Saccharomyces cerevisiae S288C: one gene and its partners. The protein of the gene in region 1 interacts with the protein of each later gene in a biochemical or structural test. Each region holds a gene or a part of one and is shown in the gene's direction. Other genes may lie near its edges. The genes, in order: AIP5, SPA2 and BNR1.

Region 1 (6,962 bases):
GCGAATCGGCATTAGCCGCCGAAGTCGCGCGTCAACGCAAACATCTGGACCCCACGGACTATCGATTTTTAGGGCTCGGGCATTCGGTCATCGGAGACGACCACACGCCATTCCTGGCCGCCGGAGTACCCGTATTACATGCAATCCCGCTACCATTCCCAAGTACATGGCACACCGTGGATGATGACTTCCGGCACTTAGACGCCGCGGAGACTCGTCACTGGGCGCTGCTTGTGTGCGAATTTGTAGTACAGTCACTACGCTCCCGTAACCAGTGATAAATCCCCTGTTTCCTTTCGTTAACATCTCCCCCTGATCTGGGGGATGTGGGGTGGAATGAGTGGCCCGGTCAATGTCAGTGCACCACTCTGAAAAGCTTGCACACATACATATACATATATATATATATATATGTAGGTATAGTAAAGGTTTGCCTGAGTAATTTTTGCGCGAGAGATCTACTATCAGCAGCGATGAGAGCAGCTACATAACACATAGTAAATCACACATCTACGCAACACACACACACACGCATACACTCACCCTCATGACAGATCCCCACTTGAACACGCCCCAAGTGAGCACGTCACCCACATTTGAAAGATCACAGGACTTCCTCAACATCGACGAACCGCCCTGTGCACAGGAAACACCTAGTGTTTCTACATTCAACCTCCCGGGTCCAAGCGCTCCCGCTCAAAGCGTAGACAAGCCAGTCCCCATGATTAGACGGCGGTCTACCAATTATATGGACGCACTAAATTCCAGGGAACAAGCCCGGGAACGCGAAAGCAGTATCGGGGAGCACGCCCCGGGAGCCGAACGTAGGAGTAGCGGACCCATGGATTTCCAGAATACTATCCACAATATGCAATACAGGACCACTAACGACTCTGACCTGAGCCACGCTGGCGTGGATATGGGTGACTCCATCTCCCATACACCGATCTGTTCTCGTGCTGGCAACAGACCCATTTTCAAAAACTCGTACCTTGACAACAACAGCAATGGTAACAGCGCAAGAGTCCCACACGGCTCTCCTCCACAGTTGGGCACGCGTAGAAAGTCGTCTTTTAAGTACGAGGACTTTAAGAAGGACATCTATAACCAGCTTCACATGTTTGGAGAGAAGTAAAGCCTCCCTAGTGTCGTCCACACCTACCCACTCATACATATGTACGTAACGTCAATCTCTTTAGCTTCTTTTCTACATTTTTTTGTATATGTACCAAAACGTTGCGCATATTCTTCACTCATTTGCTCCCGTGGCTCGGCGGCTATTTTTCTTTTCCTACGGAGCGGACTGTGGTGCTTACGTGATAACAAACAACCCGAGACAAGATCCAATCATTGTCTGACTGGTATTCCTGCCACCATATTAAAAGATAAGACGGTCGAAAGATAATACATAAAGATAGGTGGAAATTGAGATAAAACCAGTCCAAAAATTCTAGATATATCTAGATATAGAACCAATTTTTTTTTCCCTTGTTTTTGATATGTTCCTTCGCTATCCTATTACGTTATTCATTCTTGCATTTCTGATTCCCTAGACTTGTTGACCGCCTATCGCCATTTAAGTTACCTTCTTTATTATATATTACTATATAGTGTTGACATGAATATTGTCAATTATAACAGTTAATTCCTATTTCAACGGGCACAAGTTACAAAAAAACTTAATCTGTTTCAGATGTCATTTTTATTTAGTAAAACTTGAAACGTACAATAAAATGACAGCGATATCGTGTAGAACTATCAATTCATTTCAATGGATTTCTGTACCCTCACGAATAGTTTAGATTATGTTATATAGGCGTGGTGATAATGCGATACTTTTTTTATTGACATAGTATTCATGACAGTACCTCTGCACAAAATAAAGTGTTTTCCGCGATCCGTACCTAACGTTGCCGCATGTTCGGTGAGAATTGGGAGAATAATTTGATAATTACTGGAGTTTCATTGTTGGTAAAGGCTATAATATGATGAATACAGAATGTACTAAATCCTCTCATTTCAACATATACGACCTAATTTTTATGAAGCTCCCTCGTCTTATTTTGTTTTGAATACTTGCCGGTGGTAATCGCATCATTTTCAAATTTAATTTCAAAATTATATATTCTAACTCTCAACTCCTTTCAATCTTGAGGTGCCCGCTGTTGTAAACAAGACTTCAGACCTACTAAAAAGGTGGGGAGTGCTCAAGAACTCGGATGTAAACTAACTAATAAGTGCTTATTGAGAAAGATAAGAATACAGAGACAATTGTTGCCTCGTGGCGGGGCTATTTACAGGTATTTCTGGTTAATGTTGGAGCTGTTGTGACCTTATTAGAACACGAACACTTCCAAGAAATAAGCGCAAGTGGTTTAGTGGTAAAATCCAACGTTGCCATCGTTGGGCCCCCGGTTCGATTCCGGGCTTGCGCAGTCCTTTTTTTAAGGATAAATTTATCCTAAAGCTTCCGAGAATATAACAGACAAGATGAAAATATTTGTTAAGTTTCTGAACACGAAATTGTCGTATATTTTCCCTTAATATTTCGTAGTCACTTCGCATATAAGCAAGTGGTTTTATTCCAGAACACTTTCTCTTTTTAAACCTGTTAGCAATTATTGTACTGGTGTGCTTGATTACTCTGGATTAAATAAAGAGTGACATGGTAGAATCTTTGACTGTAGAAAATCAGGAACACAATGTTCAACCCCCATCGGTAACTAGTGCTGGAGATTCGTATTCGACACTTGCTACAGATCTTCCCTTACCAAGTACGAATGATATTATAGAAAGTCGAGATCAACTTACAGAAAGTGACTTAGATGAAGCGATAAATGCCACTGAGAATTTTGCACAGGAATTATCATCTCAAAGGAAATCTTCTAAATTGAAAGGTCATAAAAAGAAAAACCAGGGACAAATAAAGGCGAATCGTGACAGAGATACTATTGTAAAACTTTCCAGTTCTGTTGGTGAAACCGAGGAAGCTTCCACACGGGATGCAATCTCTCATGATTTGGAAAGAAAAGACGACGTAATAGAGATAGCCACAGATACAATAAATGACGCTACAGAATCTCCCACACAGATCCCAATAGACGTCAATGTAGTTATCAAAGAAACTTCTACTAACAATGTAGCGGAAGGCACAGAAAATGTACCACCAATCAAAGAATCCACAGGAATTGAGGTTGGCAATAGCCCAATTACGAGAAGAAAAAAAAACAAAAAGAAAAAAACCACGAATAGAAGAGGTCGTAATTCTTCAAATCCTGCAGATACTACTGATTTGTCAAAACAGTCAACTTTAGATTCCATACTAGTAGGCATTGAAGAGTACCTACAGGAAGATGGTTCAAAGAACGAGGATATCAAAGTAAATATTGTCCAAGATGAGCCTGTTAATGTCGAAAAAATGGATATCAGAACCAGAAATGAATCTAGTGACAAAACCTTCGACATAGATGTGCCTAACAAAGATAATGTTGACGAAACTTCCTCAAAGTCCGAGAACAATATCAACGAGGAAAAGGCAGAACATACCTTACCTCGAGAAGAGAATGAGATCTTAAATGTTAATGAGGGAAATGCAGCTTCTTTTAAACACCAACTAGAGCCGCACGGTTTGGAGGCAGGTGATGAAAATGGGCAAGCGTCTACTAAGGATGTTGAAAGTGAAAGTTTAACTAAGAATGGGTTTAATTTCAAAGAGAACGAATCAAAACATTTGAAAGCTGGGGAAAAGCAGCAGACTGAAAGTGATAGAGACGGAATAAGTCCTTCAGTTCTTGCAAAAAATCAGAAAGAAACAGAAATCGGGAAAGAAGACCATGTTTTTGAACAGAAGGATAAAGAAGACGAAAAATGTAGGAAAGAATTATCTGTTAATCATGAGAATAACATGAGCCATAATTTTAACGCAGCTGGTAGTGATAGTATCATCCCTCCAGAAACTGAGCGAGAGACTTATGATGACGAAACGATGGGACCAACAAAGCGCATTAGTGACAATGAAAAAAATCTACAACACGGTACTAACGATATATCTGTAGAAGTTGAAAAAGAAGAAGAAGAAGAAGAAGAAGAAGAAGAAAATTCGACTTTTTCAAAAGTTAAAAAAGAAAATGTAACCGGGGAGCAAGAAGCTGTAAGAAATAATGAAGTGTCCGGTACCGAAGAAGAATCTACATCAAAAGGAGAGGAAATTATGGGGGGAGATGAAAAGCAGTCAGAAGCGGGAGAAAAATCTTCCATTATTGAAATAGAGGGAAGCGCAAACTCTGCAAAAATTTCTAAAGATAACCTTGTTCTTGAAGATGAAGCTGAAGCACCTACTCAGGAAAACAAGCCTACGGAAGTTGTCGGAGAAATCGATATACCTGACGCGCCTAGGGATGATGTAGAGATTGTTGAGGCTGTGGAAAAAAATATAATACCTGAAGATCTCGAGGTTGCCAAAGAAGATCAAGAAGGGGAACAAGTCAAGCTGGATGAACCTGTTAAGGCCATGAAAGATGATAAAATAGCAATGAGAGGTGCTGAGTCTATCAGTGAAGACATGAAAAAGAAGCAAGAGGGGACTGCTGAGCTTTCCAACGAGAAAGCAAAAAAAGAGGTTGATGAAACAGCAAGAGAAAGTGCAGAAGGTGTAGAGGTTGAGAAATCGAAGACTCCTGAGTCTCCAAAAGTAGTTAAGCGTTGTACCTCCGGAAGACCAGAAGATCTTCAAATCAACGAAAGAGATCCTGAGGTTCTAAAGGAAGATGTTAGAGTTCCCGATGAAGATGTAAAGCCAGAAATTGCAACAACCATTGAGAATTCCGAAGAAGAAGATCCCAAATCCCAGCGCGTTCAAATTTCAACAGAACAAGCTGAAACTACACAAAAGGATATGGGAGATGTAGGATCTACTACTAGTTTCAAAGAAGAAGAAAAACCCAAACGCTTTGAAATTACACAAGAAGGCGATAAAATCACCGGCAAAGATACAAATCATGAACATGGTGAAGCTACTGAGGCTGCGAGCGAAAATTCAAAAGCAAGTGATGTTGGAACTGCCGAAAAATATATAGAACCTAGCAGCGAATCTGTCAAGAAGGACACCGAGGAAGATGCAGAAGTGGAGAATTCCGAAAAAACTGAATTTATCAAGGTAAAGGCAGAGCTTGAAAATCTTGACGCTCCAAAAGAGGCAGAAGTCACTGCTGAACTGAATAAAGAAAATGAAGATGTGGAAGTTGACACCGAGGAAGATGCAGAAGTGGAGAATTCCGAAAAAACTGAATTTATCAAGGTAAAGGCAGAGCTTGGAAATCTTGACGCTCCAAAAGAGGCAGAAGTCACTGCTGAACTGAATAAAGAAAATGAAGATGTGGAAGTTGCTGCAACTTCAAAAGAAGACATCGAAACAAAATGTTCGGAACCTGCTGAGACTCCAATAGAGGATGGAACATGTACGGAGGCAGAAGTTTCAAAAAAGGATGCGGAAGCCGTGACAAAAGAAGACGAGAATATGGAAAATTCTAAGATTGCTGAGGCGCTCAAAGATGTCACCGGAGATCAAGAGATCGACGATATCAACATTTCAGACGAATTTCAAAGGACAGTCGAATTGCCAGAATTGGAAAAACAAGATATAAAGGATAATAAAGGAGAAGACAAGGAATTGGAAGTAGAAGAAACAGAGAAAGAAACTTCTCTTCCTGATCTTGTAGTGGAAGAAAACATCACGGAGGAAAAGAATGAAATTAAGCAAGAAGAAGAGGAGGTATCCCAGTTAGACTTCAATGAAACAGAGTCAATCAGTAAAGAAGCCCCAAACAATGACGAAAATGGATTTGAAGATCAAAGTACAAGGGAAAATCCCAAGAAAGCAAGTGCAGATGACATCTTCAAAGATATTTTGGACGAAACGAATGAGTTTTTAGAGCAACTAAAAATTGTTGATGATTCTGAACTAAACGCTCTACTCCAATCACTAGATGCGAAAGACTCCACAACTCAAACTACTGAGCAATCCAAGAAAAACAATGACAAGCCACAAGACGTAATAACGACTAGCGAGATCCGGAAGCTGAATGAAAAGGAACCTGTATATATATACACGTCACTAGCCGGAGGCGGTTTCCATATGATCCCCAGAACAAATCGCTTAAGCACAATCCTGACGGCCAACCGAATCCCGTTCACCTACAGAGATCTTGGCACAGATGATGAAGCGAGAAAAGTTTGGAAGACTTTCAGCAAGGGTAGGAGTCTTCCAGGTGTGGTCAGAGGACACAATGACTTAATCGGGAACTGGGAAGAAATAGAAGAAGCTAACGAAGACTACAAATTGCGGGAACTCATTTACGATACTATTTAAGAAAGCTTAAGCGCGCTACGTAACTAACATAATCTCTTGACAGCACATGTGATTTATAGTTCTCCTCCCACGTTTAACCCACATAAAACAAGGTAAAAGAAACCTTGTCAAATAATTGCTCTATTGACAGGAGCAAAGCTTGCCCAAAGAGGTTGCACAGAAGCGCCGTAAACGGAATCTTTCAGGGGCACAATTTCCCGATCGGTACGGCAAAGGCAAAAGCCACCTGCGCGGCTACTCAGGGACCATTTCCTGCCACAGAACTTCCCGTGAAACATGCCCCGGCCTATGGGTTCCTGGAACCCCCCACAAGTAATACCCCTTGGAGGATTTTTCAGAAAGAAAGCGAAGCTATTGTTAGCTGGTCAATTGAATAAGGGCAGACAAGAGGCTGTATGACTACAGTTGCATGCGGAGACGGCTTCAACAGCAACAGCAACAGGAAGTGTTCACACCAACGCACAGCCTACACCGGTGTATATAAACATAAACTCCTTCTTTTCTTCCCGCAACGGTTCTTCTTATTACCTTCCACTTTTTTTTTCATTGACTTATATCTATATATCTAAACTCCAAATATACTAGTTAGCACAGC
Region 2 (7,799 bases), on another chromosome or scaffold:
ATGGAAGCCTTAGTGGCAGCGGCATCTTGAGTCTGCAATGGTTCATTGCGGGTGAAAAATTGCTGGTAAATGATGATACCGAAAGATTCGATGACACCGAGATATGCCGATCTGTAATAAAATTCTGACATCTTGAGCAGGTAAAGAATGGAGCTGATCAATACGACGGAATGACCGGTAAACCATGCAAACTGCAAGCTCTTGGCTACTGCCATGAACCTTTGCACGAGCGACTTATCTCTGGCAGGGAGGTTTGGGGGGCCTTGGTTATTAGCGGGTCTTGATGACATTATACTGACTATTCTTGGCTAGTGTTTCTTGCTCCTTATGAATAGAGAAAAATGACTTTTTTTAGATGTAGTAAGTATGTCATTTCAGGGATGGTCTGCTTGCTCTTTAAATATTTTTTCACCCTTTTAAAATGGGGCCCTTTCGCCGTACCAAAGAAGGAGAAATATACATTACGTATGTAGGTTGCTACATTTTACACAAAACTATCAATGCCTTCTAGGCTTCTTCTTGACCAGTTGAGAGAGATCATTGAAGTCACCAAGGGGCTTTTCGAGGGCGGGGAAGCCGATGGAGGTCGTGGGCTGCGAAAGAGGCCTCTTGGAGCCGTGCTGCTGATTTTCTTGCACCTCATCAATATCGTCTTGAATCTGTGCGAGCCTTGCCTGCTGTAACTCGCTGTCCTTGGGTCTTGTAGTCATGTGTTTTTCAAGCAGAGCCTTGGCATGCTTGAATCTTTTTAGTTTGTCCTTAGCCGGCACCTGATCAACCCACCTTAAAGCATCACACACCAAAAATTCTGCTTGTATCACCTTCTCAGTTACTTGTTCTGCGGGTTTCAAGGTCTTGTAATAGCCAAGCGCCTTCAAGTAATGATGAATGGCTCTACTGAACATCTCCGCCTCCCTTTCGATGTCACCCATCAGGATATACACATCACCGATGCGCAATCTGCTGTTCTCGGTTAGAGATTGGCCATCTGCTGTAGGGCGGCCCAACAGCATCAAGGCCTGCGCCAGTAGGTCCAAAGCATTCTCATACAGATCATTTTCAAAGTAAATGTGGAAACCAGACTTGCGAAGTTGCGATACGTCTTCAATTTCATCGTCATGTTCATTCGCTGGACTGAAGTTAGCCAATTCGTGCAAAGCTAAGCGTTCTTCCTCTTTCTCCACGTTTTCTTCCTCTTCTTCGCTACCTTCGCCACTGTCCTCACTATCACCACTGTCGACATCACCAGTCAAGTCTTCCTCTTCTTGGTCGAATTGGAACATCCTAGAATTAGGAATTTCTGTTTGACCGTTCTCGTTCCCCTCTTCTCCATTGCTCACATCAGACTCAGGCTCAGACTCAGACTCAGACCCAGATCCATCGTCACCTGCCAGAAGAGCGTCCCCAAACAGATTACCAGAATTCTGTACTTCCATGTTGTATACAGCTTGTGCGAATATAGTAAACAGTTCAGGATCAGGCAACAAACCATCTTTTGGGAGAGAGTCCAAAGTTTGTTGGCAGCGTTTAGCAGCTTCTAAGAACTTTTTCTGTGCGAGTAAATCTTTTGCAATTTGAACCTGTCTTTCCATATCAATTTGAACTTTATGTCTGCTAGTTCCGTTTGCCAACACGTCTTCTGCCCTTAGTTTCATATTCTGTTACTTCTAGAAGGAGACCTCATCGCCGATGTTACCTCAAAATTGAGTAGAATGAAATAATACAAAATTGGAAAAAACGCGAAACTTCAGTGCAGTAACATATCGTTCCGACATTCTCTGAGAAGTGGTAAGATTCCACTGCCGGGGAGCTACGAGTGCTCTTGCAAGTTTTTAGACACTGCTATATCCTTCGACTACGTAACCCCATTTTTTTATTTTTCTATATAAAAACATGCACTGTATACATATAATCACGTAAGTTCAAGTCGTGCTTAAAACGGGCACAGAAAACTAACTATGAGTTGCCGTACCATACATAAACTAGGAGAAGGTAGCGCAGTTCTTTTTTTTTACCAAAGGTTTGCACAAAAAAGATGGTCTAACGTAAGTAAGTTATCAATAAAACTGTTAAAAGTAGTATAAGAATCTTGAGATAGGCTTATTATTATGACTTTTTATGGCGGAAAAGGAAGAAGAAATACTGCGCCGGGTGATGCGTGACGCGTTTTTGGAAACGATGAGAATAAACTTTGAAGTATTTTGAGAATAATATTCTATTATCGAGTTCTTTCAGCAGAAAGCAACACATAGCTACGTATAGTTCGGTAAGATAAATTTGGTCAGAAGCGTGTGAAAGACGCTGAGAAACCACGTGAGACGAAGATTCAAATCAAGGCGTGAGGAATAACGCAATACGAGCCACCGAAACAGAATAAACAAAAGAAAAGAAAGAGTAAACATGGGTACGTCAAGCGAGGTTTCTCTCGCACATCATAGAGATATCTTCCATTACTACGTCTCACTGAAGACTTTTTTCGAGGTGACTGGCGAAAATCGTGACAGGTCAAATTCGACACGAGCTCAAAAGGCCAGAGCCAAGCTGTTGAAGCTATCTTCTTCGCAATTTTACGAGCTGAGTACAGACGTGTCCGATGAGCTGCAGAGGAGAATCGGTGAAGATGCTAACCAACCAGATTACCTTTTGCCGAAGGCAAATTTCCACATGAAAAGGAACCAGGCTAGACAGAAACTGGCCAATCTATCACAAACTCGATTTAATGATTTGTTGGACGATATCCTTTTTGAGATCAAGAGAAGAGGGTTCGACAAGGATTTGGATGCTCCACGGCCCCCATTACCGCAGCCGATGAAACAAGAGGTCAGCAAAGACAGCGATGATACTGCAAGAACATCCACAAATTCTTCCTCTGTGACTCAAGTAGCTCCAAACGTCTCCGTACAACCTTCTTTGGTCATTCCTAAGATGGCATCTATCGATTGGTCTTCTGAGGAAGAAGAAGAGGAGCAAGTAAAGGAGAAGCCAAATGAACCGGAGGGAAAACAAACAAGCATGGATGAAAAGAAAGAGGCTAAACCTGCTCTAAACCCCATAGTTACAGATTCTGATCTGCCTGACTCCCAAGTGCTCGCTCGTGATATCACATCAATGGCAAGGACTCCAACAACGACGCATAAAAATTACTGGGACGTTAATGATTCTCCAATTATCAAGGTAGATAAAGATATCGATAACGAAAAGGGTCCCGAACAGTTGAAGAGCCCTGAAGTACAACGGGCTGAGAACAATAACCCTAACTCAGAGATGGAAGACAAGGTTAAAGAACTGACTGATTTAAACAGCGACTTACATTTGCAAATTGAAGATTTGAATGCTAAGTTAGCATCTTTAACCAGCGAGAAGGAAAAGGAGAAGAAGGAAGAGAAGGAGGAAAAAGAAAAGGAAAAGAACTTAAAGATTAACTACACCATTGATGAAAGTTTTCAGAAAGAATTGCTGTCATTAAACTCTCAAATCGGTGAATTATCAATTGAGAATGAAAATTTGAAGCAGAAAATTTCAGAATTCGAACTGCATCAAAAAAAGAATGACAACCATAATGATTTGAAAATCACTGACGGTTTTATTAGCAAGTACTCTTCTGCCGATGGGCTCATTCCAGCTCAATACATCTTAAACGCTAACAACTTGATAATTCAATTTACTACTAGGCTTTCCGCAGTACCCATAGGCGACTCCACGGCAATTTCCCATCAAATTGGCGAAGAGTTATTTCAAATATTATCCCAGTTATCGAACCTAATCTCCCAGCTATTACTATCGGCCGACCTATTACAGTACAAAGATCAGGTCATTTTACTGAAGGCATCATTATCGCATGCGATCACATCGATAAGATATTTCTCTGTTTACGGTCCCGTATTAATTCCGAAAATAACTGTGCAAGCTGCTGTTTCAGAGGTTTGTTTTGCCATGTGTAATCTAATTGATTCAGCGAAAATAAAATCCGATTCAAATGGTGAGAGCACCACCTCTAATGAAGGTAACCGACAGGTATTAGAATATTCTTCACCAACTGCTACCACCCCAATGACGCCAACTTTCCCCTCGACTTCTGGAATAAATATGAAGAAGGGGTTTATAAACCCAAGAAAACCAGCATCTTTCTTGAATGATGTGGAGGAAGAAGAATCTCCAGTCAAGCCATTGAAAATTACACAAAAGGCAATTAACAGTCCGATCATAAGACCGTCATCGTCTAATGGAGTTCCAACAACCTCAAGAAAACCTTCAGGAACGGGGCTATTTAGTTTAATGATTGATTCATCAATTGCTAAGAATAGCTCCCATAAAGAGGATAATGATAAATATGTCTCGCCCATAAAGGCAGTAACATCGGCCTCCAATTCTGCAAGTAGCAATATTTCCGAAATTCCTAAACTAACACTACCTCCACAAGCCAAAATCGGTACTGTTATTCCACCGTCAGAGAATCAAGTTCCCAATATTAAAATCGAGAATACAGAAGAGGATAATAAAAGGAGTGACATAACAAATGAAATCTCTGTTAAACCAACTTCTAGCATTGCTGATAAACTGAAACAATTTGAGCAAAGTTCCGAAAAGAAATCATCACCAAAGGAAAATCCTATAGCAAAAGAAGAAATGGATTCAAAACCAAAACTATCCAATAAATTTATCACTTCAATGAATGATGTGTCCACAGATGATTCAAGCTCTGATGGTAACGAAAATGACGATGCAGACGATGATGATGATTTTACCTATATGGCATTGAAACAAACAATGAAGAGAGAAGGTTCAAAAATTGAAAAAAATAATGACAGCAAACTACCTGCAAATATAGTGGAACTTGATTTACATGAGTCACCGGAGTCCGTGAAGATTGAATCTCCTGAATCGATAAAGGAAATCACGTCATCTGAAATGTCTTCAGAAATGCCAAGTAGTTCGCTGCCTAAGAGATTAGTAGAGGATGTTGAGCCTTCAGAAATGCCAGAGAAGGGCGCATCTGTAGAATCAGTCAGGAAGAAAAATTTTCAAGAACCACTTGGTAATGTCGAATCTCCGGATATGACGCAGAAGGTCAAGTCTTTGGGTATGACAGGAAAGGCTGTAGGCCCAGAATCAGATAGTAGGGTCGAATCTCCGGGCATGACAGGACAGATTAAATCTTTGAATATGGCAGGAAAAGTTGTAGGCCCAGAAGCAGATAGTAGGGTCGAATCTCCGGGCATGAAAGAGCAGATTAAGTCTTTGGGTATGACAGGAAAAATTACAGCTCAAGAATCAATCAAGTCCCCGGAAGCGGCTAGGAAGTTGGCGTCATCAGGAGAAGTTGACAAAATTGAATCTCCAAGAATGGTAAGGGAAAGCGAGTCCTTGGAGGCAGTAGGCAATACTATCCCCTCAAACATGACAGTGAAAATGGAATCCCCAAATTTAAAGGGAAATACTGTGTCTGAACCTCAAGAAATAAGGAGAGACATTGCCTCCTCAGAGCCGATAGAGAATGTTGACCCCCCAAAAGTACTAAAAAAGATTGTCTTTCCAAAGGCTGTTAATAGAACTGGATCACCAAAATCAGTCGAAAAGACTCCATCTTCAGCTACACTGAAAAAGAGCGGGCTCCCAGAACCGAATAGCCAAATTGTTTCTCCTGAATTGGCAAAAAATTCACCTCTAGCACCGATAAAGAAAAATGTCGAGTTACGAGAAACTAATAAACCACATACTGAGACTATCACTTCTGTGGAACCAACAAACAAGGATGCCAATACTTCTTGGAGAGACGCCGACTTAAACCGTACGATCAAACGAGAGGAGGAGGACGAAGATTTTGATAGAGTGAACCACAATATCCAGATCACTGGTGCATATACGAAAACTGGAAAAATTGATTATCATAAAATACCTGTTGATCGTAAAGCAAAAAGCGAAGCAGAAGTGCATACTTCCGAGGAAGATATTGATGAATCAAATAATGTTAATGGAAAAAGAGCTGATGCCCAAATACACATCACTGAAAGAAAGCATGCTTTCGTAAATCCAACTGAAAATTCACAGGTAAAAAAGACGAGCCACTCACCATTTTTAAACAGTAAACCGGTTCAATACGAGAACTCAGAGTCGAACGGCGGCATTAACAACCACATAAAGATAAAAAATACTGGAGAAACTACGGCACATGACGAGAAACATTATAGTGATGATGATGATTCTAGCTATCAATTTGTTCCCATGAAACATGAAGAACAAGAACAAGAACAAAACAGAAGTGAGGAAGAGGAAAGTGAAGATGACGATGAAGAGGAAGAAGACAGTGATTTTGATGTGGATACATTTGACATTGAAAATCCGGATAATACACTATCAGAGTTACTATTGTATTTAGAACATCAAACAATGGACGTCATATCCACGATTCAATCGCTTTTGACATCGATCAAGAAACCACAGGTGACGAAGGGTAATTTGAGGGGAGAATCGAATGCAATCAACCAAGTCATAGGTCAAATGGTGGACGCTACTAGCATATCAATGGAGCAAAGCAGAAATGCCAATTTGAAGAAACACGGTGATTGGGTGGTGCAAAGTCTAAGAGACTGTTCGCGTAGAATGACAATTTTGTGCCAATTAACTGGCGATGGAATACTAGCGAAGGAAAAGAGCGATCAAGATTATGCTGACAAAAACTTCAAACAGCGGTTGGCAGGGATTGCGTTTGATGTTGCCAAATGTACAAAGGAGCTGGTAAAAACTGTAGAAGAGGCAAGTTTGAAGGACGAAATAAATTATTTGAATTCGAAGTTGAAGTAAAGTTAGTAGTATCTAGAGGAGAAAGAAAAGGAAGACAAAGACAATCAATAGAATGTATTATGTATGACATATAATAATAATAATTATAATAATAATAATAATAGTAGTAGCAGTAATAATAATATTATTATAGTATATTAAAACAACAAAAAATTAGTAAAAATACTATAAATGTTTGAATATGAAGATATATATGTAGGAAGAATTTTTATTGAATATAGAAATTTAAAGAAATATTATTAAAAACCGGAAAATGAAAAAGAAGAGTTAAAAAAAAAAAAAACGGAACTAGTAAAAGATGTGAAAAAAAGAAGAGAAAAGTAGAACGAGAACACCCACTATCCTTGGGTATTATTATAAGTTGCAATACCATCATCCAGTATGCCCAGATTAAACCATTCATGGTCCAGAGCGTCCTTTGCGGTAATCCTTTTTGTTGGGTCGAACTCAAACATTTTCCTGAGTAGATCGATGAACCAGTACCAAAACAAGAAAGTTTCCTTATCGAGTTCATCAGTAGTTGAGGAAGAAGAGGAATGTGTTTGTCTTTTCCATGCCAATTTCGAATTTATCAAAGACCAGTTTTTCTCCGGCGGTAGATTCCAATTGATGCTTAAGCTATCGCCGTAATCCTGTTTCAAGACCTTTGAGATGTAAATATCTAAGCGATCACATGACTGCAAGACCCTTTTCATTGACTTTTCGGTGGTTATGGTATCTCCGCGTTTATTTTTTTCAGGCCATTGTAAGCTTAAAGTTTTTCTGTCGAAATGCTTTATCACCGTTGAATTTAGGTCTGATGGAGAGTTGCCCAATTTATGTTTAGATTTGTAAAACATCTTATCAATAATGTCTGTGGGGAAAGGGGTTCCATTGATTCGTTGCATCATAGCCATATGTTCTAGATTTTCATGAATGGGGTAAAGAGATTCGCCAATAACCAGTTCTACTAGGACACACGCGATGGACCAAATGTCGCAGGGGAACGACCAGCCCAA
Region 3 (7,515 bases), on another chromosome or scaffold:
AACAATAATGGAGCTAATAAAAAGAATACCCTACACTACTCAAAGGAAATTAATGTAGAAGAGCGAAAACAAATCGCAAAAAGGCAAGAAGAAATCGAACAATGCATTCACACCTTATCCGATTTTAAACTGTTTAAAAAGGGTAAGCACGTTACCTCATATGGCTATCGAATCTCCCCCATGACAGACTCCGGTAAGATTTCTTTGAAAATTTTATTCAACATACCTTTGGATTATCCAAAGGCCCCAATAAAACTAACGATGAAAAGTAATGAAGAAGTTTCCTCTTACATGGACACCGTGATAGCGAATTTCAACTGGAAAGCCCGTCAATTGGTTAAGGAGGACTGGAGGATATTATCTCAAATAAACTATTTGGTTAGTGAGTTAGAAATATTGAAAATGGAAAATTATAAACAAATTGATAAACTACGTAATAGCTTTTACAAAACCATATAAATATGAGCATAATAAAAAGGGAGAATATTAACTATTATCAAGTATTAAAACTATTCTTTAATAAAGATGGCGGCGGCACCCATACCAGTACCGATACACATACTAACAACCCCGATTTGATCCTTTTTCAGTTCTCTTAGTATGGTAGCTACTTGCCTTGCGCCAGTACAACCCAAGGGATGGCCTAACGCGATTGCACCACCTCTTGGATTTACTTTATTCAAATCGATGCCCAGTTTATGGATGCAGTATAATGCTTGGGCCGCGAATGCTTCATTTATTTCAAAAATATCGATATCTTGGACTTGCAAGCCAGTAGCTTCCAGGACTTTTGGTATGGCGTATGCAGGGCCCACACCCATGATTTCAGGGGGAACCCCCACTGTTTGAAAATCGATGTAGCGACCTAGCACAGGCAGATTTAACTGGTTGGCTACGGACCTGCGGGCTAACAAGACACCTGCCACACCATCGGAGACCTGGGATGCATTGCCCGCAGTTGTGGTTCCTCTGTCTTTGATAAAGGCAGGCCTGATGCTTGAAAGCGACTCCGCAGTGACGTTAGGGCGTGGCCCTTCGTCCGACTGGCAAATTGAGCCATCTGGTAATTTTATAGGTAAAATTTCATCTTCGAAAAGCCCCTCATTTTTCGCCTTGTAAGCTTTTTGATATGAATTCGCAGCGAACTCGTCTTGATCCTTTCTACTGATCTTGAAATTAGCGGCAACATTCTCATTAGTAATGCCCATTGGTATTAGACATTTCTTCGCTTCTCGGTTTTTTTGCAGCTCTTCAGAGGAGATCATGCCCAAGGGATTGACGTTTTTGTAGTTATTGGTCATTGATTCCACTCCCAGCGCCAAACCAATATCAATTTGCCCAACCTTAATCTTGTTGGCAATATCGTTCACCGCCGTTAAACCTGAAGAACATTGTCTGTTTAAAGCGACAAATGGCGTCGAGTAGGGAATCCCACTTGCCAAGCATGCAGCCCTGTGTTCTGTAGCACCGGCTCCAACATTGAGAACATTTCCACAGGCAACTTCTTCGATTAAGTTCAAATCAGCCCTCAAAGGTTCCGGAAACCTCCCGATGAACTCATTGAGAAAGTTGTATAATAAGTAGTCTGTGTTTACATCTTTGAAGGCACCTTTAAAACCTTTACCGATGGCAGACCTGTTAGCAGCCACAATAACTACATCTTCGGGTCTTTTCTCCAGCAACGAGTTCTTCCTCTTCGATTCACCCTTACCCATGGCGCTCTCCACCAAATGATCCTTGATACTTTGTAGTCTTTGAGACATTGCTTTTATGTAGTGTTATATTCACTCTGTACTCAGAGCCACAAGAAATAACCATTCGATTTCAATAGAACTGAGATGCAAAAGTATACCCTATTTATATCTCTTCTTTCTAGTAAAACTCCAATAAATTTGAAACCAATAGAGGGAGAAAGGAAAAAAAAGCTGCGGTGTTAATACTATTATCCCCGTTTCCCTTTGATAGCGCCTTACACGGCGCTACCACATCATTACCCTCCTCATGTTGACGCGTCAAGTTTTTTTTCTTTTTTCGCTATTTGTGGCATAGGTTCAAAACTAGCAAATTCTTGATCTTTTGAAGATTACATAGTGATGATGATCGTGACACAAAAGCAGATAAAAAAATAGCACAATCATCAGCGATGGACTCTTCCCCGAACAAGAAGACGTACCGCTACCCTCGCAGATCGCTGTCACTTCACGCGCGTGATAGGGTCAGCGAAGCCCGTAAATTGGAAGAATTGAATTTGAACGATGGGCTGGTTGCCGCTGGCTTGCAGTTGGTCGGTGTAGCGTTAGAGAAACAAGGTACAGGATCACATATATACATGAAACAGAAGAATTTCTCAGCTAATGACGTTTCTTCGTCACCAATGGTTTCCGAAGAAGTGAACGGATCGGAAATGGATTTTAATCCGAAGTGCATGCCTCAGGACGCATCACTCGTCGAAAGAATGTTTGATGAGCTTTTAAAAGATGGAACTTTTTTTTGGGGGGCTGCTTATAAGAATTTACAAAACATCTCTCTACGAAGGAAATGGTTATTGATATGTAAAATCCGTAGTTCCAATCATTGGGGGAAAAAGAAAGTGACTTCGAGCACGACATACTCTACACATTTGGCCACTAATGAACTAGCTGAAAACGCACACTTTTTGGATGGCCTAGTTAGAAACCTTTCAACAGGTGGCATGAAGTTATCGAAGGCTCTATATAAACTAGAAAAATTCCTGCGAAAGCAAAGCTTTTTGCAACTTTTTCTCAAGGATGAAATTTACTTGACGACATTGATCGAAAAGACTTTGCCACTCATATCCAAGGAATTACAATTTGTTTATCTTCGGTGCTTTAAAATACTGATGAACAACCCACTGGCGAGAATAAGAGCACTACATTCTGAGCCTTTAATTCGCTGGTTCACCGAGCTTCTGACGGATCAAAATTCTAATTTGAAATGTCAGTTACTTTCTATGGAGTTACTTTTATTATTAACGTATGTTGAGGGTTCCACGGGTTGTGAGTTGATATGGGACCAGCTTTCCATATTATTCACCGATTGGCTAGAATGGTTTGACAAAATCCTTGCGGATGATATTGCAATTCATTCATCCCTTTATTTGAACTGGAACCAATTAAAAATAGACTATTCGACAACTTTCCTACTGCTAATAAACTCCATACTGCAAGGTTTCAACAACAAGACTGCACTAGAAATTTTGAATTTTTTGAAAAAGAATAATATACATAACACTATCACATTTTTAGAACTGGCCTATAAAGATGATCCTAATAGTGTCGTGATCATGGAACAAATAAAACAATTCAAATCCAAAGAATCTGCGATATTTGACTCGATGATAAAAACTACCAACGATACGAATTCGCTTCACCCAACAAAAGATATCGCAAGAATAGAAAGCGAGCCTCTATGTCTTGAAAATTGCCTGTTATTGAAGGCAAAAGATAGTCCCGTAGAGGCACCAATAAACGAGATTATTCAATCGCTGTGGAAAATCTTAGACTCTCAAAAACCATACTCAGAATCTATTAAACTATTAAAATTGATAAATTCTTTGCTGTTTTATCTCATAGATTCCTTTCAAGTGTCAACGAATCCTTCTTTTGATGAAACCTTGGAGTCCGCAGAAAATGTGGATTATGTTTTTCAAGATTCTGTTAATAAATTGTTGGATTCTCTACAATCTGATGAAATTGCTAGAAGAGCGGTCACAGAAATTGATGATCTTAATGCTAAGATTTCTCATTTGAATGAAAAATTAAATTTAGTAGAAAATCATGATAAAGATCATTTAATAGCAAAACTAGATGAAAGTGAATCTTTGATATCTCTGAAAACCAAGGAAATTGAAAATCTGAAACTGCAGTTGAAGGCAACCAAGAAAAGACTAGACCAAATTACCACGCATCAAAGGTTATATGACCAGCCACCTTCATTGGCAAGTAGCAACTTGAGTATTGCCGGCTCGATAATAAAAAATAATAGTCATGGAAATATCATTTTCCAAAATTTAGCAAAAAAGCAACAGCAGCAGCAAAAAATTTCTCTGCCCAAGCGTTCAACTAGTCTACTAAAAAGTAAAAGAGTTACGTCCCTTTCATCATATTTAACTGATGCAAATAACGAAAATGAGTCCCAAAATGAATCCGAAGATAAATCAAAAGACTCATTATTTCAAAGATCTACGTCAACCATTAATTTTAATATCCCTTCTATGAAAAATATTACTAATATGCAAAATGTCTCTCTAAATTCGATACTTTCAGAGTTGGAATTTTCAAATAGCCTAGGAACACAACCTAATTACCAATCGTCTCCCGTGTTGTCTTCGGTTTCTTCTTCACCAAAACTTTTCCCTCGACTTTCCTCAGATAGTCTTGATAATGGAATCCAACTAGTACCTGAAGTTGTTAAACTACCTCAACTTCCACCGCCCCCTCCTCCACCTCCCCCTCCTCCACTTCCACAGTCTCTTTTGACTGAAGCAGAAGCTAAACCGGATGGTGTTTCCTGTATTGCAGCACCTGCACCGCCACCCCTTCCAGATCTATTTAAAACTAAAACTTGTGGCGCCGTTCCACCACCACCACCGCCACCGCCTTTACCCGAGTCCTTGTCGATGAACAAAGGCCCCTCCAATCACGATTTAGTTACTCCTCCAGCTCCACCTTTACCAAATGGTCTTCTTTCTTCCTCCTCAGTGTCTATCAATCCAACGACAACCGATTTAAAACCACCTCCAACTGAAAAGCGATTGAAGCAAATCCACTGGGATAAGGTGGAGGATATCAAAGACACACTTTGGGAAGACACGTTTCAACGCCAAGAAACAATCAAAGAATTACAAACTGATGGTATATTCTCTCAGATTGAAGATATTTTTAAGATGAAAAGTCCGACTAAGATTGCAAATAAAAGGAACGCAGAATCCTCAATTGCCTTGTCTTCAAACAATGGCAAGTCTTCCAATGAGCTGAAGAAAATTTCATTCTTATCAAGAGATTTGGCTCAGCAATTTGGTATTAATTTACACATGTTTTCCCAATTATCTGATATGGAATTTGTTATGAAAGTATTGAACTGTGATAACGACATTGTCCAAAATGTTAACATACTGAAATTTTTTTGTAAAGAAGAGTTAGTAAATATACCAAAAAGTATGCTTAATAAGTACGAGCCATATTCACAGGGTAAGGATGGTAAAGCAGTAAGTGACTTACAAAGAGCTGACAGAATATTTTTGGAGTTGTGTATCAATTTAAGATTTTATTGGAATGCAAGATCAAAGAGTCTGCTGACATTGTCAACATACGAGAGAGATTATTACGATTTGATTTTCAAGTTACAAAAAATTGATGATGCAATTTCACACTTAAATCGTTCACCTAAATTTAAAAGTTTGATGTTTATTATCACGGAAATAGGCAATCATATGAATAAAAGAATTGTTAAGGGTATCAAATTGAAGTCATTGACTAAACTTGCCTTTGTCAGATCCAGTATTGATCAAAATGTATCATTTTTGCATTTTATTGAAAAAGTCATAAGAATAAAATATCCTGATATATACGGTTTTGTGGATGATTTGAAGAACATTGAAGATTTAGGTAAAATCTCACTAGAACACGTTGAATCAGAGTGTCATGAATTTCATAAAAAAATTGAGGATTTAGTTACTCAGTTTCAAGTAGGAAAGCTATCCAAAGAGGAGAACTTAGACCCCAGAGATCAAATTATTAAAAAGGTCAAGTTTAAGATTAATCGGGCCAAAACAAAAAGTGAATTATTGATTGGTCAATGTAAATTAACTTTAATAGATTTGAATAAACTGATGAAATATTACGGTGAAGATCCCAAAGATAAAGAGAGTAAAAACGAATTTTTCCAACCCTTTATTGAATTTTTAGCCATGTTTAAGAAATGTGCCAAGGAAAACATTGAAAAGGAGGAAATGGAAAGAGTGTACGAACAAAGGAAGAGCTTGTTAGATATGAGGACAAGCAGTAATAAGAAAAGCAATGGAAGTGATGAAAACGATGGTGAAAAAGTAAACAGGGATGCTGTTGATCTACTCATATCTAAATTACGCGAAGTAAAGAAGGATCCAGAACCTCTAAGAAGAAGAAAGAGTACAAAACTCAATGAAATAGCCATTAACGTACATGAAGGAGATGTAAAAACGAGAAAGGATGAAGATCACGTTTTACTAGAGAGAACGCATGCTATGCTGAACGATATTCAAAATATATAGTGAAGACTTAGTATTTTATGTAGTTGTGGAGCTTATATAAAGAAATGGACAATATTCGCAATCGCTTCTCAAAAGGGAAATATTTTCCCTTTTCGGGCGGTGGTCGTGTTGACAAATTTCCTAGTTAAGAACTAAGATTTGGAGATGGACAGATTCATTAATAAATTTCAAAATAAGCACAGAAAGCATCGAATTTTTAGCTCAAAACAATCTACTTTTCAATCATCAAAACAGACTATTGAATAAAGATGGGCAATGTGTCTGTGGCAGTGGGAACGGCAGTTGGGATTCCAATTGCTGTGGGCGTAATAATAGCCCTGATATTTTGGTGTAAATTACAACGACGTTACAAAAAAGAAGAGATTAGAGATGCTGATTTGGAGAAGATGGTAATGGAAGAAGTGGCAGTGTCGGTATATGATGGTTTTAAAGCCGAAATTAACAGCTCAAGTGAAGCTTCCACGATAAACGAAAAGGAAGCAAACCAGGATCTTAAACCCTGCCAAGAAAAAACCGCCAAGGCAGGGTACACACCAGCATACAGAAGGCAATTGAACGCTAGTATGGGGACTTTGCGTCCAAAAAAGCAGAGCACTGCATATACCAATGTCCCCGTCATTTTCAGCGGCGAAAAGGTGAATTATGGGATGGTCAGAGATCCTTCCTATAGTTTTATGTATCCACTGACGCTATCGCGCAAAGAAACGAGTAGTTTGAGATCAGCTTCTACGTCAAACTTGTCATCGAGCACAGAAAATACTGCGTTACACGAAGAAATAAAACTGGATGACCCATATGAAAACGATTTTACGAATTATACTGTCAACAAGAGAGAATTTATTGACAGCTTACGGCCACACTAATATATATGCATATAGATATATAAACGTACCTACATAGTTTTGCATTTGTATAGATACCCAGACCACTTGTAATAACGATAAAAATAAAATAATAATAAAGGATATTTACAGACAAATAGCACCATACTTGCTATTAAATTGGTGTCTTGGTATTTTCAGCTAGCAAATCGATCTTTTGGCCAGCGGCAGTGACGCTCCATTCATGAATCAAAAACTCTTCGTCGTGAGTGTTCCTATCGGCAACCAGTCTAACGGTTCCAGTAACGTTTTTGTCCCCCTTGATATAAAACGTAATGTTAATCCTACCCTTCACAGAGTTCAGTTCACCGTAGACCCAAGGGATGATACCATCAAATTCTATGCTCTCACCCAGTATGTTTT

Evidence for each region.
Region 2: the proteins of AIP5 (region 1) and SPA2 form a complex in vitro, tested with the Saccharomyces cerevisiae proteins (one study listed by BioGRID).
Region 3: the proteins of AIP5 (region 1) and BNR1 form a complex in vitro, tested with the Saccharomyces cerevisiae proteins (one study listed by BioGRID).

The regions. Positions count from the first base shown.
Region 1 is NC_001138.5:176,447-183,408, reverse strand, and holds AIP5 (Aip5p), read left to right. Parts: upstream 1-2,665; coding exon 2,666-6,367; downstream 6,368-6,962. Other genes in the region: YFR018C (uncharacterized protein), read left to right, coding at 1-278; IGD1 (Igd1p), read left to right, coding at 548-1,135.
Region 2 is NC_001144.5:98,547-106,345, forward strand, and holds SPA2 (Spa2p), read left to right. Parts: upstream 1-2,400; coding exon 2,401-6,801; downstream 6,802-7,799. Other genes in the region: nucleoporin POM33, read right to left, coding at 1-290; HIF1 (Hif1p), read right to left, coding at 498-1,655; serine/threonine protein kinase KNS1, read right to left, coding at 7,140-7,799. UniProt on the Saccharomyces cerevisiae protein: Involved in pheromone-induced morphogenesis and efficient mating, perhaps as a cytoskeletal protein.
Region 3 is NC_001141.2:39,682-47,196, forward strand, and holds BNR1 (formin BNR1), read left to right. Parts: upstream 1-2,143; coding exon 2,144-6,271; downstream 6,272-7,515. Other genes in the region: SMU2 (Smu2p), read left to right, coding at 1-459; POT1 (acetyl-CoA C-acyltransferase), read right to left, coding at 510-1,763; AIM20 (Aim20p), read left to right, coding at 6,520-7,134; COA1 (Coa1p), read right to left, coding at 7,268-7,515. UniProt on the Saccharomyces cerevisiae protein: May organize microtubules by mediating spindle positioning and movement in the budding process. Potential target of the RHO family members.